Linked DNA regions of Alligator mississippiensis. The protein of the gene in region 3 interacts with the protein of the main gene of each other region in a biochemical or structural test. Links are inferred from orthologs where the notes say so. Each region holds a gene or a part of one and is shown on either strand. Other genes may lie near its edges.

Region 1 (7,444 bases), on a different chromosome or scaffold from region 3:
GGGCTGGAGCTACCCAGCGCCCCCCACCCCCAAGCTCCCCAGTGCAAAGGACAAGGGGGGCCCAATCAGCCCCTTTCAGGCTAGAACTCTGCCAGCCGGCGAAATGTTTTTCTTCTTTAAAGGAGAATCAATCCATTGTTAAAGTTTGTTCATGACCCTTGTGTATAGTCTTGCTACCCACTTTTGGGTCGTCGGGGTTGAAAAACACTGCCTTAGATCACAAAGTGCAGAAGGGTGAATGCAGAGTGGAGGGGAAGCCAACCAATACCCCTATAAATGAAGACAAAGGAGATTCTAAAGTTGTTGAGAAAGGTGACAGTCTAGCACCTGGAAGGCTTCTCCAGATTGGGCCAGCAGAATGAAAAAGAAGAAAGACTGAAATGCTTTGTCATAAAAAGGTGCTGGTGACACTGTTCATCTTTAGGGTCTGTGGAGTTCTACACCCTTTCACAAATGTAGTAGTCCAAGAACACCAGCATGTTCAAAGCTTTTTTCCTTAAGGACTGAAATTTTCTTACAGAGAGGAACCTTTGCTCACGTATCCATGACCACTTCACCCTAAGCACTATTCCTTGCTGTGGCTTTTCACTTTAAGGAGTAAATCTGATCAAAAGAAAGAGTCCCAGGGGTGGGCAGAAGTATTTGCAAGTAATTAGTTTGGATATTGCATCAGATAAAGAGGATCAAAGCCTCATATTAGATTGGCAGAGTAAGAACCTTTGAAGAATTTTCAAGTGTGTGTAAATCCCATTGTTTTTCAATAGGGCTGAGGCTTTCAAATAATGTAGGTACTTTTGAAAATGCCACACCCCTGAGCCTGTTGATTTTTGTACCACAAAGTACTTAGCACATTTTGGTGTTCTGGAAGACCTCATACTGAGAAGCCTCGTGTACATTTTACATCTGTAAAAAGGTGTAACCTATTAAAGCTTGGGTTTTGAACCTCCCTCCATATGCATCTTGCCCATAAAAGTCCCACAGCATTGCAGAGTATTGAATCTGCCAAGAAAATAGAACTTAACGCTAGGAGTTTGAGGTTTTTAAATTTTATTTCAGTAAAAGAAACACCATCCAGTTTCAAACAATTATATTTTATTAAAACAAGGGGTGGAGTTGTAGACGAACTGTTTAAGGGTATTCCAGTTCTGAAGTTCATAGCATAAATAAATCCTCCATCAATATCATAAAATAACTTAGTAGATCTTAGAATAAAAACCTTGAAAATCAACATTCCAAAATACGATAAAATGGTTTTAAATGTTTTGATTAAACCTTTTTGCTCTTTTCACGCTAAAGGTGTTTTAAATGAGAAACTACAAGTTGCACTCATGAAACTCAAAGGTATTTGGCATAGTCTGCAAGTAACTCAAGCATACAGCACCTTACATCTTCTTGCTATTTTTAGTTTTTTTCATGACGCTTGTTTAATACGCTTTCAGCTTCCACTTCCTTTCCCATCACTTTTCCACTGCAGAGTCCACTTCTTCTGTCCCACACAACGTGTAGTTCAACTTCAGTCTAACCCACTTGACATCAGCTTGTTTTGTTTTTTGTAATCCTTGTGTCAGGGTAGGGAGTTACTTCCTGAGCAACTGCTAAAGTATTTTAGAACTTCAGTGCAATTTTGTTCAGTTCGTTTACATCCAAATGCCATCACCGGTCAGGGAGATTAACCACTGGAACCCACTGATCCATGTAGCGACTTTCACGACAAAAGCACATTAGCTGACTCAGTGCTGGATCCTTCCACTGAGAAGCATAGGGGTTCTGGAAAAGACAGAGTTGATTTTAAAACAAAAAACTGTGACTGGTTTCAAATGATTAGTGTAAAAATAATTAAAGAGCGCTATTGTAATGCAACTATTCACATCCAATCCTAAAACTACCCTCTTTCCTTGAATTCATTTTAGTTTGCAACAGGTGAAGTCTTCTCAAGCCTTTTACAGGTTTCTTGCAGTCCTATCTGTATGCAGGAATATAATATTTAAAACCTGAATAAGGATTTTAAGGGTTTCACGATATCGCTGTGGTTGAGGGTCAGAGTATTTTAAACTCGTGGTAGATGCTGCCATCCTTCTTGTGTCTTTAAATTCTGTTTTAATTCTATTGTCTATTCATTAATTGGGCTTCTCTCATATGTGCGCACAAATACACTTCACACAGAACCTGGTCTCTTAACTGAAATGCAAGATTGTATGTCATGGGTTATTGACTGCCATATCTTTTTGCACAAAAATCCCCCTGATTTCAATGAAAGTTGCAATATCCATCTCAGGCTATTGTAGCTGTATTCTTTTTACCAGCTTCCTTTAGGTGCGATGCACAGTTCTCAAGTATTGCATCTAAAGCTGTCTCCCTCTGCAGGCCAAGAACTTTTAAAGGAACATTCACTGCTTTGTCTGCTTGTTTGAGATGTAATTTGGCTGGAACAGGACTCTTTAGAGCTTGCTTTTTTTTCCTTAAGAAGAAATTTCAAAATAGGAACTTTACTTTTTAAATGTGTTTTACCCTGTCCAAACAGAATTGGAGCAATTCCCCTGTTTTTGTCCACAACTAGCTTTCAGTTTATAAAATAGCTTGACTTGAAGTATTATTATCACATCATTTAGCACCTTTAAAGTAATCCTCCCCAGAACCTTTAAAGAAAGTTCCTCCTGGCCTACCCTTTTCTGCCAAAAGCAATCCAACCTGCTTATCTAATCCAGTAATGAGGAAAGACAAATATAAATACCCCAGCTGCCCTAACAAGGTGACTCACAGGGCTCACTCCTGCTGCTGACAGGATCTAACATGTTTGAACATGTCCATAAAAGTGGGAAAAAATCTCTATAATCAAATCGGGAGCAGCTCTGATGTAAGTCCTTGGTACAGGTAAGTAGAGGAAAGGGCACCTCAGTCCCAACTGCAGAGGGGCCTGATCCAAAATCCCAGCTGCAAATCCAAACTCAGATCCAAGTTTAAAGTGGGCCGAGCTGAAACCTTTCCAGGGTGAAACTCCTAAAGTTTGGAGCCTGTTGGAAACCCAATCTGAAGGTTATGTTGAGGGCAAACCCAGCTGTACTCAGGTGAAGAGCGGGAATGGGCCCCCTGCTGAAGCAGCAGCACCAGCAAAGTGTCTCTGTGCTGGCAAGTGTCCTGTGCTTCGGCTGCCAGCTGGAGAGGGCAGTCACTTGGGTGGCTACGCAGGGGACTGGCAGAGGCAGGAGAAACTAGCACTTTGCTGACTAACCAGGTAGACATGCGTGCACACACGCCTTGCAGACTAACCAGGTAGACATGCGTGCACACACGCCTTGCAGACTAACCAGGTAGAGATGCACACTCACACACACGCCTTGCATGCGTCTACCTGGTTAGTCTGCATGCATACACACACACGCACCTTGCGGGCTAACCAGGTACATGCACACCTTGTGGGTGAACCAGGTAGACACACCTTGCAGACTAACCAGGTAGACACATGCATATACATACACAGGCACACCCCTTGAAAACTAACCAGGTAGACACACGCATATACACATGCACAGACTAACCAGGCAGACACATGCATACACACACATGCACACCTTGCAGGTGAACCAGGTAGCCACACGCAGGCCCACCTTGCAGACTAACCAGGTAGACACATGCATACACACACATGCACGCACACCCCTTGCAGACTAACCAGGTACACACATGCATACACATGCGTGCACACCTTGCAGGTGAACCAGGTAGCCACATGCAGGCACACCTTGAAGACTAACCAGGTAGACACACAACCCTTGCAGACTAACCCGGTAGACACATGCATGCACACCTTGCAGGTGAACCAGGTAGCCACACGCAGGCACACCTTGCCGACTAACCAGGTAGACACGCACATATACACACCCATGCATGCACGCACGCACACCCCTTGCAGACTAACCAGGCACACACACATGCGCACACCTTGCAGGTGAACCAGGTAGACACACGCAGGCACACCTTGCAGACTAACCAGGTAGACACGTGTGCGCGCACACACACACGGAGCAGGTCGGGGCGGGCGCACGGGCCCTGGGGACCCCGCCCCCGCAGGTGGAGCCCCTTCCCTTCCCCTCCCTGGCCGTGCGCTGCCTACCGTGACGAGCACGCAGTGCAGGTCTGCGGGCGGGTCGAGGCCGGGGCCGGCGCCGGGCGGCGGGAGGCGCAGCAGCTCGGCGAGGCGCGCGGGGTTGCTGACGCGCAGGATGCTGATGTCGTTCTCGCAGCAGAAGGCCTGCAGCAGCGTGAAGTGGATCTGCAGCGCCACGTCCCGCGCGTCCTCCTCGTCGGCGGCCAGCAGGCAGAGCACCACGCGCTCCGCGTCCCTGCGGGGAGACCGCGCTCAGCCCGCGCCGCCGGGCCGGGGCCGGGGACAGGGGGGTGCGGGGGGGGGGAGGGGCAGGGCACTCACACGTTGAGCAGCTTGGCCGCCTCGTAGACGCCGACGGTGACGCTCCGCTGGCTCAGCGCCTTGCTCAGCACCTCCTGCAGCGCCGAGCCCGCCGTCTCCATCCTGAGGGGGCAGCGCCAGCGCCATCAGAGCCGGCGGCGCCGGGACCCGAGCTCGAACCCGCGCCCCCCGCGCGCCCCGCGCCCCCCTACCTGGCCCGGCTGCGGCGCGGTCCGCCCGGCTCCTCCAGCGTCATCGCTCACCTCGCGCCGCGGCGCCGGCTCTGAGGGAGCGGGGCGGCCCGCGGGACTTCTCCTGCCAACACCCAGCCAACCGCCTCCTCCCTCATTTGCATGCGGCCGCCCCATTGGGTCATGCAAATGTGTCCCGTGTTCGACTTGACCTTGTGCGGCCCCGGCCAGTGCGAGAGGAGGGCGGGGGGGGGGGCTTTTTTCTTTTTCTTTTTTTCTCTGCTGGCTGATTGGAGGGCTGGGAGGCCGGTGCGGTGGGGAGCTGTCAATCACGCGTGCCCCAGCGCTGAGGGTTGCAGTGGGGACCGCTCTTGTCATGCTGTGGGGAGGGGCCCAGGCGCTGCACTTGCGTGGCTCGCCTGGCTTGCAAAGGGGTTGAACGCTCACAGCTCCCCCTGCCTCAAAAGTAGCAGCAGGTGCTCAGCACCACTGGCAGCCTCGCCTTCCCCTCAGACAACATCTGTGGGGTGCAGGGACTTTGCTCCAAGCTTCTGCAGACCCTGAAGGAGGCAGAGCGGGGGGCGACCCTGAAGTGCTACCCTTCAGATCCAGTCCAAATGGAAGTCAGGTCTCAGCCGTCAATTCTCACAGACAAAAAAGTAGCAGAGAAGCAGAAATTACTAGAAACTTGTGGCCAGGTGTGTTGCTGAGGGAAAGTGGCAGCTGCGCTGAAGTCAGCAGCATAAAGTACGGCAAATGGCAGCTGGCTCTGCACCCCGCAGATCAGCCCCCAATTAGCTAGGCCTGCAAACGTTGAGCGCTGCGGCACTACTCTGTATGAGCCGGTGCAACATCTCACACGTTCGCCCTTTGCTGGCAGCAGTCGGGTTACAGATGGGGGGAGTGTAGCGCCTGGGTTACTGGGGATCTTCCAGTTTATGGGGCCTGCTGTGTTCGGGCTGGGTCAGCCCCAGGTTCTGCTGAAAAATTGGGGCTATGAGTAGATCCAGGGGTTTGTGCACAAGCTGACTGGCAGCCGTGACCCTACAGCACTTGGCTGCACGCTGCCTAGTGTCATTCCCTGCCTGCTCTGCAGCAGCGCCAGTCCTGACCCCCTTTTTCCAGCCCAGCTGCTCCATTGTGGGGTCTCCTACACTTCTAATCCCCAGCCAAATTCTGGACCTCGACCCCCTTTCTAGGTTCCTTCTTTCCATTCCTGTTCCCAGGACCTCATTCCCCCAGCAGGATGTGTCCTTCGTCCTTTGGCCACCCTGAGATGAGGCAGGGCAAGAAAAAGACACTGAGGATGGGAGAAGACTGCGAGGCTTGAGGGGGTGTGAAGAGATGGTGGGCACTGGCAGCACTTCTTTCTCTTGGAGGGAGAGAAGCAAGGGGCAAAGGACTCAGGGGAATAAGGCAGAAGCAACAAGGAATACACTTGGGACAAGGGAAGGGAGAAAAAATGTAAAAAGATTAAAGCCTAAAAGAGAAAACAAAATTGGGGATGCAAGGGGCAAGCCCAGAGGGCAGAATTGAAGTGAACACTGGGGTGTGTAAGCACTGCTCTCTACCCTGGAAGATGCTGCATGGGAGAGCTCTAGCATCTCCAAACCCAGCCACGCTTTGGAAATCTTGTCTCCCTCATGTAGGGTGTAACCAAAGGTAAAGCAATAGCTAGGAACTAGGAACAAAGCAAACTCCTACATTAAATGCATGGGGTCACTGTAAATTGTTCCCACTGAAGTGCAGCTCTCAACTTTCCCTCATTGTAGACACCAGTTCACCAGACAAAGGTGCCACCTCACATTTGTTATAGCAAGTTAGTGACGTAAGAAGTGCTGATTCATAAAACGGAAATGGCAGAAATCTTTGTACCTAGCCTAAAGCAGAAGGGCATGGGGGAGTCCAGAGATAAATCTGCGAGATGACATTTAAGTCATGTGCTCAGGGCAAGACCTGTTTAAAGAAGAACTCCACCCGTTGGAAATATAAAAGTATGTTGCCTTCGGCTTTGCCTGAATTTATTCTTCCTTAGGAGTGAAACTGCAACAGCCTGTCAGTTGAATTCACCTCTCTTTCTCCTGTCAAGGGGAAAGCAGAGATGCATTTCAGTGCCCCATGAACAGCCATGTCATGCAATGGGCAGCTCTGGTAGGAAGTAATAAACTGCACATCATTTTAAGTCTTGCACTGAGGGACTTAAGCTCGACACACAAGTTAGAACCAGTCCTTGGCCCACTGTCAATTGCCAGTGTATCTCTGTGATATACGTTTGGGTGCCCCTGCTTCAGCACAGGTATAACATTTCTATCATTTATGTTGCCTAAGTCAGAATTCCTTATGTCAATAATTTACTAAGATAAAAAGTGACCTTGCAGTGTTGGGTGGGACAAGTGGGAATTTGTGCCTGAAAGGAAAGACAGTGAAATGCAGGACAGCTGCATTTCATTGCGAAACTGGGGAGATCTGTAGGATGTTTAATCACAGATATGCCTAGTACAGGAGTAACTGGAGTCACTCTAGGCTTATGCTTATGTCATGGAGGACAGTCTTTGTCTCAGTGATTCTGAATTCCCTTCTGGATCAGAATGGTGTAAGTGTAGTATTGCAACCCCACGCATTCAAGAGTTGTGCTTTTAATGATTTTTTTTAAGTAATCGTTGTGGGTTTGTTTTATCTGCCTTCTGGTTTCCAAGACTGTAGACCAATGGTAGGCAACATTTTTTGGCTGGAGTGCCGAAAAAACCACAATGTCACTTTGGAAGGTGCCAGAGTGCCAACATGCTGGAGCCCGGAGCAGCTGTTTGCAGCCTCCCAGCTTCAGCCAGTCCACAGAGCCTGGTCTGCT
Region 2 (7,444 bases), on a different chromosome or scaffold from region 3:
TGGGCTGGGCTGCATGCAAGACAGGTCGTCAGTGAAAATGTAGATTGAGGAGTCAATGGGTGAGAGACAGGCTGGGAGCGGGGGGGTAGAGAGAGAGAAGGGAGATGAGTAGTGGAGAGATACCTGGGGAGTCAGACGTCAGGCAGATTATAATGTATCATAAATCCAATGTCTATATTTAGTCCATGATTTTTAGCATCCAGGAGGTTGATGAAGTGCAGTTCATAGGCTCGTCTCTGGGACGTGTTTTGTAAATTCCCTTTGAGGATCAGGACTGAGAGATTGGAGAGAGAGGGGTTTTCTCATGAGAAAGGTGCCTGCACCGGTAATTGGGTATTTCTGACTTTGATGGATTTCTGGTGTGCGTTCATTCTGGTGCGCAGTTGTTGTCTGGTCTTTCCTACGTATCTTCCATCAGGGCATTTGGTGCATTGGATGAGATATATTACATTTCTGGAGGTGCAGCTGTAAGACCCAGGGATGCTGATGGCTCTGTTGTGGGGTGTCGTAATAGTGGGGGGGTGGAGATGTGTTGGCAGGTTTGGCATTTCTTGTCCTGGCACGGTCTGGATCCTTTTGGTGTGTTCTGGGCTTGAGGAAGTTTGCTTCTGGTGATGAGGTTGGCGAGGTTCGGTGCTTGTTTGAAGGCTAGGATGTGTGGCTCTGGGAAGAGCTCTTTAAGAATAGGGTCTCTGTCTAGTATGGGTTGCAATTGTTTGAGGATTTTCCGTACAGGTTCAAGGGAGGGGTGATGTGTCATAACCAGCGGCGTGAGATTTGCGGGGGGTTTTCTTCTGTACTGCAGCAGTTCTTCACATGGTAACCGGGTGGCTCTTTCAAATGTGAAATACTTAAGGAGCTCCTGGAGGAGCTGGATGGGTACAAGTCAGCAGACCCGGATGACCTCCATCCACGGCTGCTGAAAGAATTGGCCAGTGTCATAGCTGAGTCGCTGGCATGGCTGTTCGAGCACTCGTGGTGCTCCCGCCAGGTCCCTGAGGACTGGAGAAGGGCCAATGTGGTGCCCATTTTCAAGAAAGGGAGAAAGGATGAGCCGGGTAACGTTAGACCAGTCAGTCTTACCTCTATTCCTGGGAAAATGCTAGAGAAAATAATCAAAGAACACATTTGTGCCGGCCCAGCAGGGGAAATGATGCTGAGGGGAAACCAGCACGGGTTTGTCACAGGTAGATCCTGCCTGACAAACCTTGTAGCCTTCTATGACCAGGTCACACACTGCCTGGACGCGGGAGCCGAGGCTGATGTCATCTTCCTGGACTTTAGGAAGGCCTTCGACACAGTCTCGCACCCTATCCTCATTGGGAAGCTAGCAGACTGTGGAGTGGACGCCTGCACGGTCAGGTGGGTGGCCAACTGGCTTAGGGACCGCACCCAGAGAGTGGTGGTGGATGGGTCCTTCTTGGCCTGGAGGGAAGTGGGCAGTGGGGTCCGATAACACCACGCTGAAAGAAGCCTCGACGGCAGACTCCAGCACCTGTGGGATAGGTATACCTGACTCTTGTAGCTCGCTACTCTGTGTGTGTGTGTGTGTGTGTGTGTGGGCGGGGGGGGGGGACCAGCCCCAAGATTTATGATTTAACTTCATTACAGTGTTTCAATCCGCCTAATAAATCAGAATTTTAAGGATCCTGAGTTGGACATTTGTAGCCAACATCACCTAGCTGGGAGGTCTTCAAGAAGAGGCTAGATAGTCACCTGGCTGGGGTCATCTGACCTCAGTCCTCTTTCCTGCCGGGGGACACGATGATCCATTGTGGTCCCTTCTGACCCTACAATCTATGAATCTATGAATCTATGTGCAATGTATCTCTCTGGAGGAGTGTCCTTGCTGGGTGAAAGCCTTTTTAAGATTGGTGAGGTGGCGATCCCAGGTGTTCTCTTCAGTGCAAATGCGGTGGGATCTGAGGGCTTGGCTGTATATCACAGCTTTCTTGGTGCATGTGGGGTGATTGCTGGTTCTGTGCAGATATGCATGTTGGTCTGTTTCTTGTATACTGTGGTCTGTATTTTACCATTCTGAATCCTGATCATCGTGTCTAAAAAGGAGCTGTTGGTGCTGGAGTATTCGAGAGAACGTTGGATGGAGGGATGACGATTGTTAAATTTCTGATGGAACTCAATCAGAGATTGTACGTTTTCAGTCCAAATGATGAAGATGTCATAGATATATCTTAAATATAGCAAGGGTTTGCGGGTGCAGTTCTTCAGGAAGTCTTCTTCCAGGTGGCTCATAAAAAGGTTGGCATACTGTGGGGCCATTTTGGTGCCCACAGCTGTTCCCATCATCTGGAGGAAGTGTTGGTTATTAAAAGTTAAATTGTTGTGTGTGAGGATGACATGTATAAGGTCAGTAATATCTTTGGGTCTGTAACCTGAGTTGTAATCTTGTTCCTGTAGATATGTAAGGCAGGCGTGGATGCCATCCTGGTGTGAGATGTTGGTGTATAGGCTGGTAACGTCCATGGTGGCTAGGAGTGTGTTGCTGGGAAGGTGGTCTATGTGTTTAAGTTTCTGTAGAAAGTCTGTGGTGTCTTGTACAAAACTTGCTCTGTGGGTGGCAAGTGGTTTTAGGATTGATTCAACGAAACCTGATATTTCCTCAGTTAGGGTCCCATGGTTGGATATGATAGGTCTGCCAGGGTTCCCTTGTTTGTGGATTTTAGGGAGCATGTAAAAAGTCCCTGGGTTAGGTAGCGGGGGGATCAAGGTCTGTAGTTTTTCTTGTAGTCTTGATGGAAGTAAGGCGTGAGGAGATAAGTAGACAAGCTAAGCAAATAAACCCGATTCAGGCTTGTCCCTGCCTTTACAATTCCCCCACCTCCACTGCCCAGCCCCTCTGTAAGGACGCCAACACTAATATATGAATTCTGCTTTTAACATTGGGTGTCACTTGATTCACAAAGTTAATGGGGGGCGGGGTCCAGAAAGGTTGAGAACCACTGAACTAACCAAAGTAGATCTAGCTGTCTATCTATCGATCTACTTTGGGGTGTGTGTGTATGTGTGTGTATATGTGTATATATATATATAGAGAGAGAGAGAGAGAGAGAGAGATTGTGTGTATATAGTGTGTGTGTGTGTATGTGTGATGCATATATAGTGTGTATGTGATCTTTAGTATGAGTGTATGTGTAATGCATATATAGCGTGTGAGTGAGATCTTTAGTCTGGGGGTTTGGGGGTGTGCAATGCCTATAGCGTGTGTGCAATGCACAGATATACTATGTGTGCACATGTGCAGTGCATATAGTGTGCGCATGTGCGCAATGCATAGTGTGCGCAATGCATGTATAGTGTGCACGTGTGCGCAATGCATAGTGTGCATGTGTGCAATGCATATATATAGTGTGTGTGCAAGGCAGTGTGTACATGTGTGCAACGCATATATATATATATATAGTGTGCACGCAATGCATATATAGTGTGTGCATGTGTGCAATGCATAGTGTGTGTGTGCCTGTGTGCAATGCACAAATATATATAGTGTGTGTGTGTGTGTGTGTGTGTGTGTGCAATGCATACAGAGTGTGTGTGTGACCTTTAGCTAGTCTGCGCAGTTGCAGTCTTCCCCGTGCAGCCCCGCGCCCACAGGCAGGCATCAGCACTGCCCTGCACAGCGCCCGCCTGTTCCGCCACACCCGGAAGTAGCCGCTTGTCCAACCCCTAGTGAATGCCACACTTCCTGAAAATGGACACTCTACATCTGCGGGAGGACTTGCTCTATGGCAGTGGGTGAACCAAGCCTTTAAACCCAAACCAAACGCGTGAAGCTGCGTGTGCGCGCGGGGCCTTGCACGTGATGAGCCCCGGGTGCGAATTCACCCCGCGCGCCGTCACCACGGGCACGCTGCGGGGCTGGCACCCTAGGCTGAAGGCTTGTCCTGGAGAGACTACATTTCCCAGCAACCCCCGCTCCCCTCGGCCCACGTGATCTCTCTCGCTCAATGGGAAGCAGCGACGGGGTTTATATTTCCCCTCGGGAGCGGCGGGCCCTTCTTTTCCCAGCCGGCGCGGGAAGATGGCGGTGCAGATCTCCAAAAAGCGCAAGGTGGGCGCCGCGGGGCGGGTTCCCGGGCTCGCGGGGCGGGGCCATATCGGCGGGGCCGGGCGCGGCGGGGGCCCGGGCAGGGTTTGGGGTCGGGAGTGGCGGGGACAAGGCGGCGGCGGGGGCGGATGGAAGCGGATGGAGGCTCGGCCTGGCCTGGCCGGCAACATGGCGGCTCCTTGCATCTTGTGTGGGAGGGGGGATTACGTAGGGGGGTTACGTAGGTGGGGGAGGGGGGCTGCAGCGCGTGGGGCAGAGCGCGCTTGCACGTGTGTCCGGGGTGCAGCTCTGCCTCCCCCAGCGGGGCCAGGGCTCTGCTGCACCCCCTGGGCCCGGGCAGGTGCTCTGGGTGCAGCCCAGGGAGCCCTTCCCCAGGTGCACGCACCAGCTGAGCGTGGCGGGAAGTGGTCGGGTCCTATCTGTGTCTGGGTGACTTCAGCAGCAAGCAGGTTGCAGAGGAGATGGGTCCTACGAAACGTAACCCCGAGCGCATGTTAGCTGCCCAGCGGGTGCCGTTCCAGTCTGGAAGTCTTTCGAGGATAGTTGAACCTTAAAATCCAGTTTGGCCAGCACTGTTTAGGAAGTCGTTCGATAGTGGTTATACATCCGCTCGTTCTGGAGCAGCCCGAGTGCAAGCCGGTGCTGGAAGGAAGCGACCTGCTCCTAAAGTTATGCTGACCGGCGTGTTTTCCGGGGTTATTGCCACCCAAGGTTTGCAGAGAACAGCAGCGCAGTGATCCAGGGTGGCCCTGCCGGCCTCCTCAATCGGGTCCTGAACTGAGAGCATTTCATAGAGAAGTGGGAGCTGGTAGAGATGCGCAGGCGTCGTGTCCAGTCCGACCGCCTGCATGAAGCGAGATCCTCCATGTTCAAACAGTGCTGTCCAGTCTAAAGTTGACATAAGACTGTCTACCCTGATACCTAGCACCCTAACTTGTCGTAGGGAAAGCAGGGGAGCCGTGGTGGTCGATGCCCTGCTTCTGTGAAATGTTAGTGTACGCTTAAGAGATCCCAGGTAGATGGCTGTGCCCTCACTTCAGAGAAGGCAACCCACTTCCCGCCCAGTCTATACTGGCTTGACCACGGGGTAAAATTCCTTCCTGACACCAAATTTGACAATCAGTCTGATCCTGAGCAGAGGGGCAAGAAAGACCCTCTAACCAGGAGCCTCTGGCTCTGGTCCCAGCAGGAGCATTGACACAGTTGGAGCCCAGTCGGAGTCCCCAGCTTTGATTGTAACCAGAGGAAGGCTTAAAAAACACCCTGCCATATGTAGCAGAAAGCAGGGGGTAGGAAGGAGAACGAGCAAAACAACACAGTCGGTTTTGTTGAGCAGAGTTTGACCAGGTCTGTTTCCTTTTCTAGTTCGTGGCGGATGGTATCTTCAAAGCCGAGCTGAATGAGTTTCTGACTCGTGAACTGGCCGAAGATGGGTACTCCGGAGTAGAGGTCAGAGTGACTCCAACCAGGACTGAAATTATCATCCTGGCTACCAGGTGAGGGAAGCGTGCTTTGAGCTCTTTGATGCTGTTTAGAGTTGTGTTTGACTCTTGTCTGTGTGTTTCGTTTCTTTGGGAAGGTGGCAAAAAGAAATTACAGGAAGAAATTAAGGCAACCCTCTCCCCTCACCACCAGTCAATATCAATTTGACCATGGGGTAGAAGTCCTTCGTGACCCCAAATACACTGATCAGTGTGACCCTGAATGGAGGGGCGAGACTAGCCAGGAACAGGCCTCTGGTTTTGATCCCAACAGGAGCATTGGCATGGCCCGGTCACAGAGGGCATTTTTACACGTGCGAGCACTGCGGTGCCGGGTGCTTTGAAAAGTCCTCGACACTGCGAGGCTTGCAGTTGTGTAAGCGGTGAAACGTGCATCAGCACTGAGAAAATAGCGGTGGTGCGCTTTTGAACTAAAACACATCGGAGGCGCTGTAGTTCAAAAGCGCACCACCGATGTTTTCTGTGTGCTGACGTGGATTTTGCCACTTACACAACTGTATGTGACACAGCACAGTTTGCCTCCGCTTGCATGCAGAGCAGTTTCGATTAATTGAGTCTGCTCCGAAGCAGCGAATCTCCGGCTTTTGCAGGACAAAGAAGTATGTGTATAAATGCCCAGAAGGCTTAAAAAACCACCCTGCTACGTATAGCAGAAAGGGAGTGCAGGGATGACCACCACTGGGAAGGCGGCAAACAGAAATAATGGGAGGAAATTAAGGGAAGACTATTGGCTATTAGGAAAACCTTCCTGGAAATGAGAGTAAGTAGCAGGATTGTCTTTCAAAAAATAATAGATACCCGATTCTGATCGGTCACTTAAAACTGGACTAAAGCAAACACTAACACTTGGATCGGATCATTAAAGGTTTTCATGTGTTGGATTCTGTTGACGTTCATGGAAGTTAAGTGACAGGCATTGAAGGTAGCTTTGATCTAGGTTATGTTCTGTAAAACAATATGTTCAGTTTCAAATCCAGGTTGTAATAATATGTCTATTCTTTTTTCTTCACAGAACTCAGAATGTTCTGGGTGAAAAAGGTCGCCGTATCCGTGAGCTGACGGCTGTTGTGCAAAAGAGGTTTGGCTTTCCTGAGGGAAGTGTTGAGGTGAGTTTCTTCTGTTTTGTTGATGCTTTAAAATGGGCCTTGCTTTTGCTTTATATTCAAATGGGTTGGATAACAGTTTAAAGGGCACCCATTTGAAAAGCTGGTGTCTGTTGGCAGATGTTTTGCCCATTGTCATGGCCACAACTATTAGTTATAGTTCTGAAAGATTAGCGAATGCTCTTCTTGTTGCGGATGTTGCCTTGTTTCCTGAATTTGCTACAGTGATCGTTACCACTTAATGCTTCTGCCTCGAAGCACGCTGCCATGGCGTGTCCTTGAGCATTTGCCTGGGGAAAGTAGGGCAGACAGTCCTGACCTAGAGTATGGAAATCAGCCTGGCTGAAGTGCTAACACAATGCTGGTTTCTTGCTATAGCTCTTTAACAGGAGTAAGTAACTCTGTGTTATAGTTCAGGAGTCAAATGCTATGCCTTGGCCACACTAGTACTTTAGGGGTCTGAAGCTCATTGAATTCTAAATAAATAGGTATTGCACAAATAAGAAACATCCAGCATTACACTTAGCCAGGATTAAAATGCTTGAGCATCAATTATCCAGCTTTTATGGAGCTTTGAAAGCTTCCTTGGTCAGTAGGATTAGCCCATGACTGTCCCCATGGCCGACTGGTGCCTCCCCGGGGCGGGCACCAGATCGCCGATGGAGGGGTCTCCAGTGACTGATCGCCGAGCCAGTGGCTAAACTGGGAGTGCACTTCCAGTTTCGTGGCTGGCGCTTCCAGTGGGTGCGTGTGCACCTGCTATGCATTGCCAA
Region 3 (7,444 bases):
GCTAGAAGAAATACTGATCTAGATAAACCACAAAAAACTGGGAAGCTGAGAAATAAAACACATGCAAATAAAGGCAGTGCTTTCTTTAAAAAAAAGATGATGAAATAAGGTAGTATTTATTTAACGTGACTCTTGGACTTCCACTGAAGACAGTTCTTTCATAGGCATTAGAAAAGTGCTTAAGAAGCCCATTGCTTGTACACAGATAGCAGATCTCTCCATTAAACCGGAAGCCTACACAGAGCTCAACGCAGGATTTGTACGATTCTTATGTTTTTTCCACCTATTAAAAAGTGGTTCATAATTGCAAGTCATGCAGACCTTCAATTTCAACTAGTCAGCCTTTCTCCTCACTAAAAATCCACCTAGACTGAAACAGATCTAAAAAACCAGTGTACTGTATGAGTGACTAAGCAAACATTTGACAAAACTATATATATTTTCTAGGCTCAAGCAATTCTACAAATTCACCGTTGTCAAGCAACAAATCGATCCTGGGTAAGCTTTTTGAGAGAAATATCCTGGTGCATGTCCGTGAGGGGCCAGTAGGGGAGATTATGCTTAGGGGCAACCAACACGGGTTCATTAGAGGCAGGTCCTATCAGAACAACCTGGTGGCCTTCTATGACCAGGTCACAAAATCCTTAGACGCAGGGGTAGCAGTGGACGTAGTCTTTCTGGACTTCAGGAAGGCCTTTGACACTGTCTCTCACCCCGTTCTCATTAAAAAACTAGGGGACTGTGGCGTTGACACCTACACAGTCAGAAGGGTCACTAACTGTCTGGAGGGCTGTACCCAGACAGTGGTGGTGGACGGGTCTTATTCAACCTGGAGGGAGGTGGGCAGTGGGGTTCTGCAGGCCTCAGTCCTCGGGCCTGCACTGTTCAACATCTTCATCAGTGACTTGGATGAGGGGGTAAAAAGCACCCTGTTCGAATTCGCAGACAACACTAAGATGTGGGGGGAAGCGGGCACGCTAGAAGGGAAAATAGGCTGCAATCGGACCTAGACAGGTTACAGGGGTGGGCAGATGAGAACAGGATGGGTTTCAACACTGACAAGTGCAAGGTACTGCACCTGGGGAGGAAGAACCAGCAGCATACCTACAGGCTGGGGAAATCCCTTCTTGTCAGTGCAGAGGCAGAAAAGGATCTTGGGAGTCATTATTGATGCCAAAACGAACATGGGCCGACAGCATGAGGACGCGGTCAGGAAGGCCAACTGCACCTTGTCATGCATCCACAGACGCAGCTCAAGCAGGTCCAAGGAGGTGATCCTCCCCCTGTATGTGACACCGGTCAGGCCACAGTTGGAGTACTGCATCCAGTTCTGGGCGCCGCACTTCAGGAGGGATGTGGATGGCATCAAGAGGGTCTAGAGGAGGGCCACTCGCATGACCTGGAGCAGCAGGGCAGGCCCTACGAGGAGAGACTAAGGGACCTGAACCTGTTCAGCCTCCACAAGAGAAGGCTGAGGGGGGATCTGGTGGCCATTTACAAACTAGTCAGAGGGAACCAGCAGGCATTGGGGGAGTCCCTGTTCCCCCAAGCACTCCCAGGAGTGACAAGAAGTAATGGTCACAAGCTGGCAGAGGGTAGATTTAGACTAGATATCAGGAGGTGCTACTTCACAGTCAGGGTGGCTAGGATCTGGAACCAACTTCCAAGAGAAGTGGTGCTGGCTCTTACCCTGGGTGTCTTTAAGAGGAGGCTAGATGGACCCCAGTACTCTTTCCTGCTCAGGTCCCTTCCGACCCAACCAAGTATGAAACCATGAAATATCTTGAAATCACAGCTCATTAATTTGTACCAGCCATACAAGGGTCACAACAAACTTTAAAACTACATTTTAATAAATGTCTGCTGTTGAAACAAAGCAACTTCTTTCAAAAGTTAGGACTCGAATACATCCTTATTGTTAGTCACTAGGATCAGATAAGGTGGTCCAAATCTTTCAGTGAAGATTATGTGGCTGATTGAAGAACAGCACCAGCTGCTTCCTTTATCAAGTCATATCTAATATTTTTCTCACTGTAAGCTGCTGTACAGATTCCAGTGACAAATGAAAAATCTAAGATCTCCTAACTGGTAGGTAGATGAGGGAGTGGGACTGATAGACTAAGAAAAGGATTTGCAGAGAAAGGCATGATCTGTAATTTTAGGAACCTGAACCTCATGACAACTAATCCGAAGCAAAGGTAAAACCCACTCACTTCACCGTAGTACTTAGTAATTGGAATGGATATTGATAGGAGTGTGCGTACTCTTCAACAGAGAAAGCAAAATGCCAGAATACTGCATGCATACCATACCAGACTATGTTGGGATGATGTAGCTCTTTTAATAAGGAAATTTCTCGGATTGCTGTACTGGGAACACCTTCCTCCTCACTTTCTAGTCGAATTTTCTTCATGGCAACCACCTGGCCTGTGGCTTTGTGTCGGCCTTTATATACAACACCATAGGTACCTGACAAAAATGTGACATACGAAAAACAGCTTTGTGAAGATTTAGGTAAAAAACAAGGTCACCATAATTTCAAGTGAAATAAGGCTGTTGCATTGTGGTGATTCTCTACAGAACCAGATATTACAATCTAAATATTTTTTGCCTGACTCCAAGCTATATGCACTGGTAAACTCTAAGGCAAAAACAGATTAAAAGTTTAGGATTACCTCTGTAACTCAAACCACAGAGCAGATCAGAATACTGAGGATGCTAGTTTTATTTTAAGTCAGGATTGCTGGACTTTTGCTCGGGACAGCTTTCTTCGATTAACTCAAACCACAGAGCAGATCAGAATACTGAGGATGCTAGTTTTATTTTAAGTCAGGATTGCTGGACTTTTGCTCGGGACAGCTTTCTTCGATTAACTTCCAAAAAGTATTGTTTTCCTAGTACTTTTTTCTTGAAGTGTTTTGTTCTCAACTTTTAACTCTCTTCATTCTTGATATAAAAGGAAAGTAAGAGTTCCTTAACTAATATACAACTTATTTTCAGTTACCTTCGCATGTTTATGCAGTGTTTCAAGAAACTTGGGATCAGTAATGGAATGGCTTACAATATCACTCCTTTATTCCTGCACTTTAGCCCTCAAATAAAAATTTAGAAAGGATGTCACAACTGCTTTTACAGCACAATCTATAGGGCAAAACCATGGATCCAACTACTTCTCGTACAAAAGCAGATCTATCTTTCCTCTTCTTTCCCTCCTAAGTGCTACTAAAGGGTTATATACACATGTACCAGTGACCATCGACATGAAGGAAGCTGCTCGCTATGCTATATCAGTGATTTCCAACCAGAATGCCACCGTATCCTGATGGGCCATGAGATCCTGTTACTGGTTCCTACCGCATAACACTTGCACATGATTCACAAAATAAACCCAGAGATTTCAAATACATGGTGTCAAAAACATCCTTGCAGCAGAATTGCTCTATTATTTTTCTATAATCACGGAACAGGTGAAAACCAAGAGCTGGCATTTTCTGAGGGGTGCTTTGAATCTAAGACGTGTGAGAGCCACTGCCCTTTGCATTTTCAGGTGGCTCCCAATGCCACCAAACCAAGAGCTATTTTGAAAGCATATTCATGGGACTAGACAGACATACTTAATTAGTAAGTGCAGCTACTGCCAAACAAGCTTCCTTTGGGGTTGAAAAAGTTTGCATCCAAATACACAACATAAAGGATCATGCATCCTGTGTTACCCACCTTCACCAATCTTCTCTATTTTTGTGTAGTTGTCCATCACTCCTTAATGTGACTAGCCTTAAAAGAAGAAATAATTAGGAAGGAGCCAGAGAGCTGAGGACAGGTCTCCAGGCCCCCGGGATTGGGGTAAAGCACTAAATTGGGTTGGGTGAGTTCCAAACGGGACTGGAGGGGTTGTGTCCACCATCTGCTAGGACCCGGTCCCGCACAGGAGGAAACTATCCCCACTGCCCACCCCGGGCAAGGTGGAAGGTGCCCATCCAGGCTTCCAGCCAGTCACAAACTGTTCTAGGCCTGATGGAGAGCTGTCCGGGGCCGTGCGGGGTCACGATTGCGGCTCTTTCCTTACCCACCCGGTAGTTTCTAAGGGGCGTCCTGCAGCTACCCTGCCGCTGGCGGGGGGGGGTGTCTAGCTGCACCACCCCCGTGTCTCGGCCCCAGGGCGGGGGTGTCCGCAGGCCGCGCACGGGACGCCCGGCCCGGCTTTGTTGGGGCCGGGCGAGGGGGGAAGACCAGGCAGTGGAAGAGGTCGCGGCCGAGCCCGGGACACTGCCCCCAGCCCTCCCCGGCCCAGTGGGTCGGTGTCAGAGCTGGAGGCATCCATCCCCCCGGGACCGTACCTGAGTGGCTGCCCCGGGACCGCCGCTGCACAAAGCCCAGAGGCGGCACGCGCCTGTGCGGGGCCGATTCGAACTAACCGCGCGGCGCCGCCCCGGCCCAGCCAATAGCGTCGCGCCGAGGTATTCAAAGCGGCCAATCAGCGCGCGACTCAAGGTCGGCGCCAAAGCTAAGCGAAAAGGCGGCCACTTCGGAGGTGCGCGGTCGGGCGCGGCCACCGAGAATATTTTACTCGGTGTTCTACTGTTTCTCCCTTTGGGAACGTGGGAAAGTGGCGTGGGCGGGAGGATAAATCAAGCCAAGCCTGTTGGATTTTTCAGCCTTTGTTAAGCCTCCCTCCTTCGGGTTATGTCAGGGGAAGAGTCTTTAAAGCCTCTTCCCTTCTGGCATGAATGGGGTTTCCTGAGTATTTTGGGGAGGTATTATCAGCCTGGCTCGGATTTGTTGTTGCTCGTGAGGGTGGTCAAGCAACTCCATTATCATAAGTTGGGTAGAAATGGAGCAAAGGAATAAAGTATGTAGATGCTAGTCGTACTCCCCACCTTCCTCTGCTGCAACATAGCACTGTCTGATCCCTCGAGCAGGAATCCTTTGTCCTTGTAACAGCCTAATAATGTTGTCACCCTTTTGAAGGATGCTGACATCTGGAAAGTACCTGCCGGCCTCTCACCTCCCTGCCTTCCTTGAGGCCACTGAAGCTTGGTAGACAAAGCTGGGAAAACTGAGAGCCTTGGTTGACATCACCATGGACACCTGGGATAGCTGGAAATAATACAGGTGCATGGGGGGAGGAGGGGTGTTTTAATTAGAGTGGCTCCTGGCCAGTTGCTGTAATTAAAATGTTGCATGTGTTCTGCATCCCATGTTTCAAAATAGCCATGTGGGGTGCTTAAACTAAAACTTATCAATCAAGCTTTACTTAAAGCACCCCTGCTGCATTTTGAAATGTGTGATGCTGAAATACACATGACAGTGAGGCATGCTAGAGCATTCCAATTGGAACTCTCCAACAGATTAGATTAATCAATTAATTAGAATGCATCTAATTAGAACACATTGGAGCACATGTATAGGCAGGCATGTGGTGTCCCAAGCCCTAGGTTTTTCTTTAAGGTGCTGTCTGTGCACCTATTTAAAGAACTATTGACCCTCTTTTTTTATTTAGAAGTGGTACCCAGACACTGTGAGCAATGAGATGGGGTTCCCTGGGCAGCCATCTCCTGCTGTAGTACCAATGTAGGGGGGAGTGCCAGGAGCACAGTTGTACTCTAGCTAGTTTTGACTGTAGACTGGCCCTTATGGCTGCTAGTAAAGATGGGGTGAGACTGCTGGAAAGTATACAAGCGATTTAAATTTATCCTCAACTCCTGCCTTGGCTACTACCCTAATTATGAAGCTTATTAAGCACTGGAACAAATTCACTGAAAGGCTGCGAAATCTCCATCCTTGGAAGCTCTCAAAATGAGGCTAGACAGATACTTGGATGAAATGGCTTATACAGATATGAGCTTGTCTTGAGCATAGGGTTGGACCAGGACCCTCCTGAGGTCCCTTCTAGCTCTTTTTTTTGTATGATTCTATAAAACTGTCAGATCTCAGACTATCTGGCTTGGATTCTGAAGGATCCTCTCTTTCATTGCAGGACAGGTCATACAAAATCAAATAAGACATGGGCATCTTACTAGATCTGATACAAGAGTTTATTATTTTGGCTACTGGAGTACCACTATTGACCATCTCAAACATTCACAAGATCCGGGATGTCAGATACCCCAAGTAATAAGATTTATGTAAAAATAATAAGGTGTTAAAATATATATATATATATATATATAATTTTTTTTTTTTTCATTTGCCTCTTAGTTTTTGAATGTATAGGGGTCATGCTATGCTTTTCTATGCAATTATAAACCTTACTGTTTTACTGGAGGGTAAGATTTTCTTATAATAACCTGGAGTAAGGAGCAGGGACTCAGAGGAAAACACCAAATATCATGCAAGAAGATAAAAGCATGAAAGGTGGCAAACCACGAATAAAGCTGAAGAAGCAGGTTGGACTCTTCCCCTGCTCTGCTTCCCTCCCCAGCCCCTTTCTATACTGTCTACTCAGACAGTGTTATGAATGTACCTACTAAGAATATATCTACAGCGTGTCTTCAGGGGGGACCTTTCTCAACTATGTGTCACCCACACACTCTCATTTGTATGCACCAAACCCTGTCATAGGCAGTGAAGCCTCTCGGTGCTCACCCTGACATCCATTCTCAAGACCTCTGTCTGGTGCATTGAGAATGGCTATGAGGGGTGTCCACCAGTGGCTCCAGATGTGTCCTGTATGAGCAAGAGCAGGTGAGCAGGCCATGTTCAAGAGCGGCCTTCCGTAGGAGTGCTGTGGACATGATGTAGACAGGTCTTTTATTGTTTATTCATTTACTTATTTAAGTATAAATAAAATACTGAAAAAGGTGGTGGTTTGTAGTCACATTTCATACTGGTGTAAACTTCTACAACAGATGCAGGGAAGTGGAGAATGGAGCCCTCATTCTCCAAAAAACTGTGATTTATGGGCTCCTGGAAAACTCTGGGTTCTGTGCTGGCTATAGTGTCTAATATAAAGCAACGCACCGTGATCTGTATGTCTTTCAACTTCTCTGTGACAGTGTCATGTTCTGGGGTTGAAAGTTTCTCTCAGTTTCACTTCACTGATATACTTTATTAGTGGTGTAAATGGAATAGTGTAGTGTAAGAGAGCGTGAAAATATCATATGTATGAAAGTTCCTGACCAGAAACCTTAAACGTATGGCCTTAAACACTGTTTCTTTAAATATAAAGCTAAATCAGGTTCAAGTAGGACAGTACACATGAGTAAACTGATTAGTGCTCAAATAACAGATTAGACTATTTGCATGGGGAATATAATCATATTTGGATTAAGCTTGGCTGTGTAGCTGCATCTGTTCCTCTTAATCAAGCAAGTCTTTTAGGTGTAGTTACTAGCACCAGCCAAAACAAATTCATTATTTCTGCTCTCAAGAGTGCTGATCTGTAAAATACTGCTGGGAGACTTTTTGAAAGTTGGCATGTTATAATAGGTCAGTGAGGCACTTA

Evidence for each region.
Region 1: the proteins of CDK1 (region 3) and GADD45A form a complex in vitro, tested with the Homo sapiens proteins (5 studies listed by BioGRID). The link is inferred for Alligator mississippiensis from reciprocal best matches to the Homo sapiens genes CDK1 and GADD45A.
Region 2: of the proteins of CDK1 (region 3) and RPS3, one has a biochemical effect on the other in vitro, tested with the Homo sapiens proteins (2 studies listed by BioGRID, with this or other methods). The link is inferred for Alligator mississippiensis from reciprocal best matches to the Homo sapiens genes CDK1 and RPS3.

The regions. Positions count from the first base shown.
Region 1 is NC_081828.1:18,319,238-18,326,681, reverse strand, and holds GADD45A (growth arrest and DNA damage-inducible protein GADD45 alpha), read right to left. Parts: upstream 4,728-7,444; 5' UTR 4,662-4,727; coding exon 4,618-4,661; intron 4,529-4,617; coding exon 4,427-4,528; intron 4,341-4,426; coding exon 4,112-4,340; intron 1,768-4,111; coding exon 1,654-1,767; 3' UTR 1,031-1,653; downstream 1-1,030. UniProt on the Homo sapiens protein: In T-cells, functions as a regulator of p38 MAPKs by inhibiting p88 phosphorylation and activity.
Region 2 is NC_081824.1:468,417,838-468,425,281, forward strand, and holds the start of RPS3 (small ribosomal subunit protein uS3), read left to right. Parts: upstream 1-3,961; 5' UTR 3,962-4,039; coding exon 4,040-4,069; intron 4,070-5,431; coding exon 5,432-5,562; intron 5,563-6,580; coding exon 6,581-6,674; intron 6,675-7,444. UniProt on the Homo sapiens protein: Component of the small ribosomal subunit. The ribosome is a large ribonucleoprotein complex responsible for the synthesis of proteins in the cell. Has endonuclease activity and plays a role in repair of damaged DNA.
Region 3 is NC_081829.1:48,176,150-48,183,593, reverse strand, and holds the start of CDK1 (cyclin-dependent kinase 1), read right to left. Parts: upstream 4,440-7,444; 5' UTR 4,338-4,439; intron 4,293-4,337; exon of another isoform or gene 4,067-4,292; intron 3,775-4,066; 5' UTR 3,755-3,774; coding exon 3,718-3,754; intron 2,470-3,717; coding exon 2,313-2,469; intron 1-2,312. UniProt on the Homo sapiens protein: Plays a key role in the control of the eukaryotic cell cycle by modulating the centrosome cycle as well as mitotic onset; promotes G2-M transition via association with multiple interphase cyclins.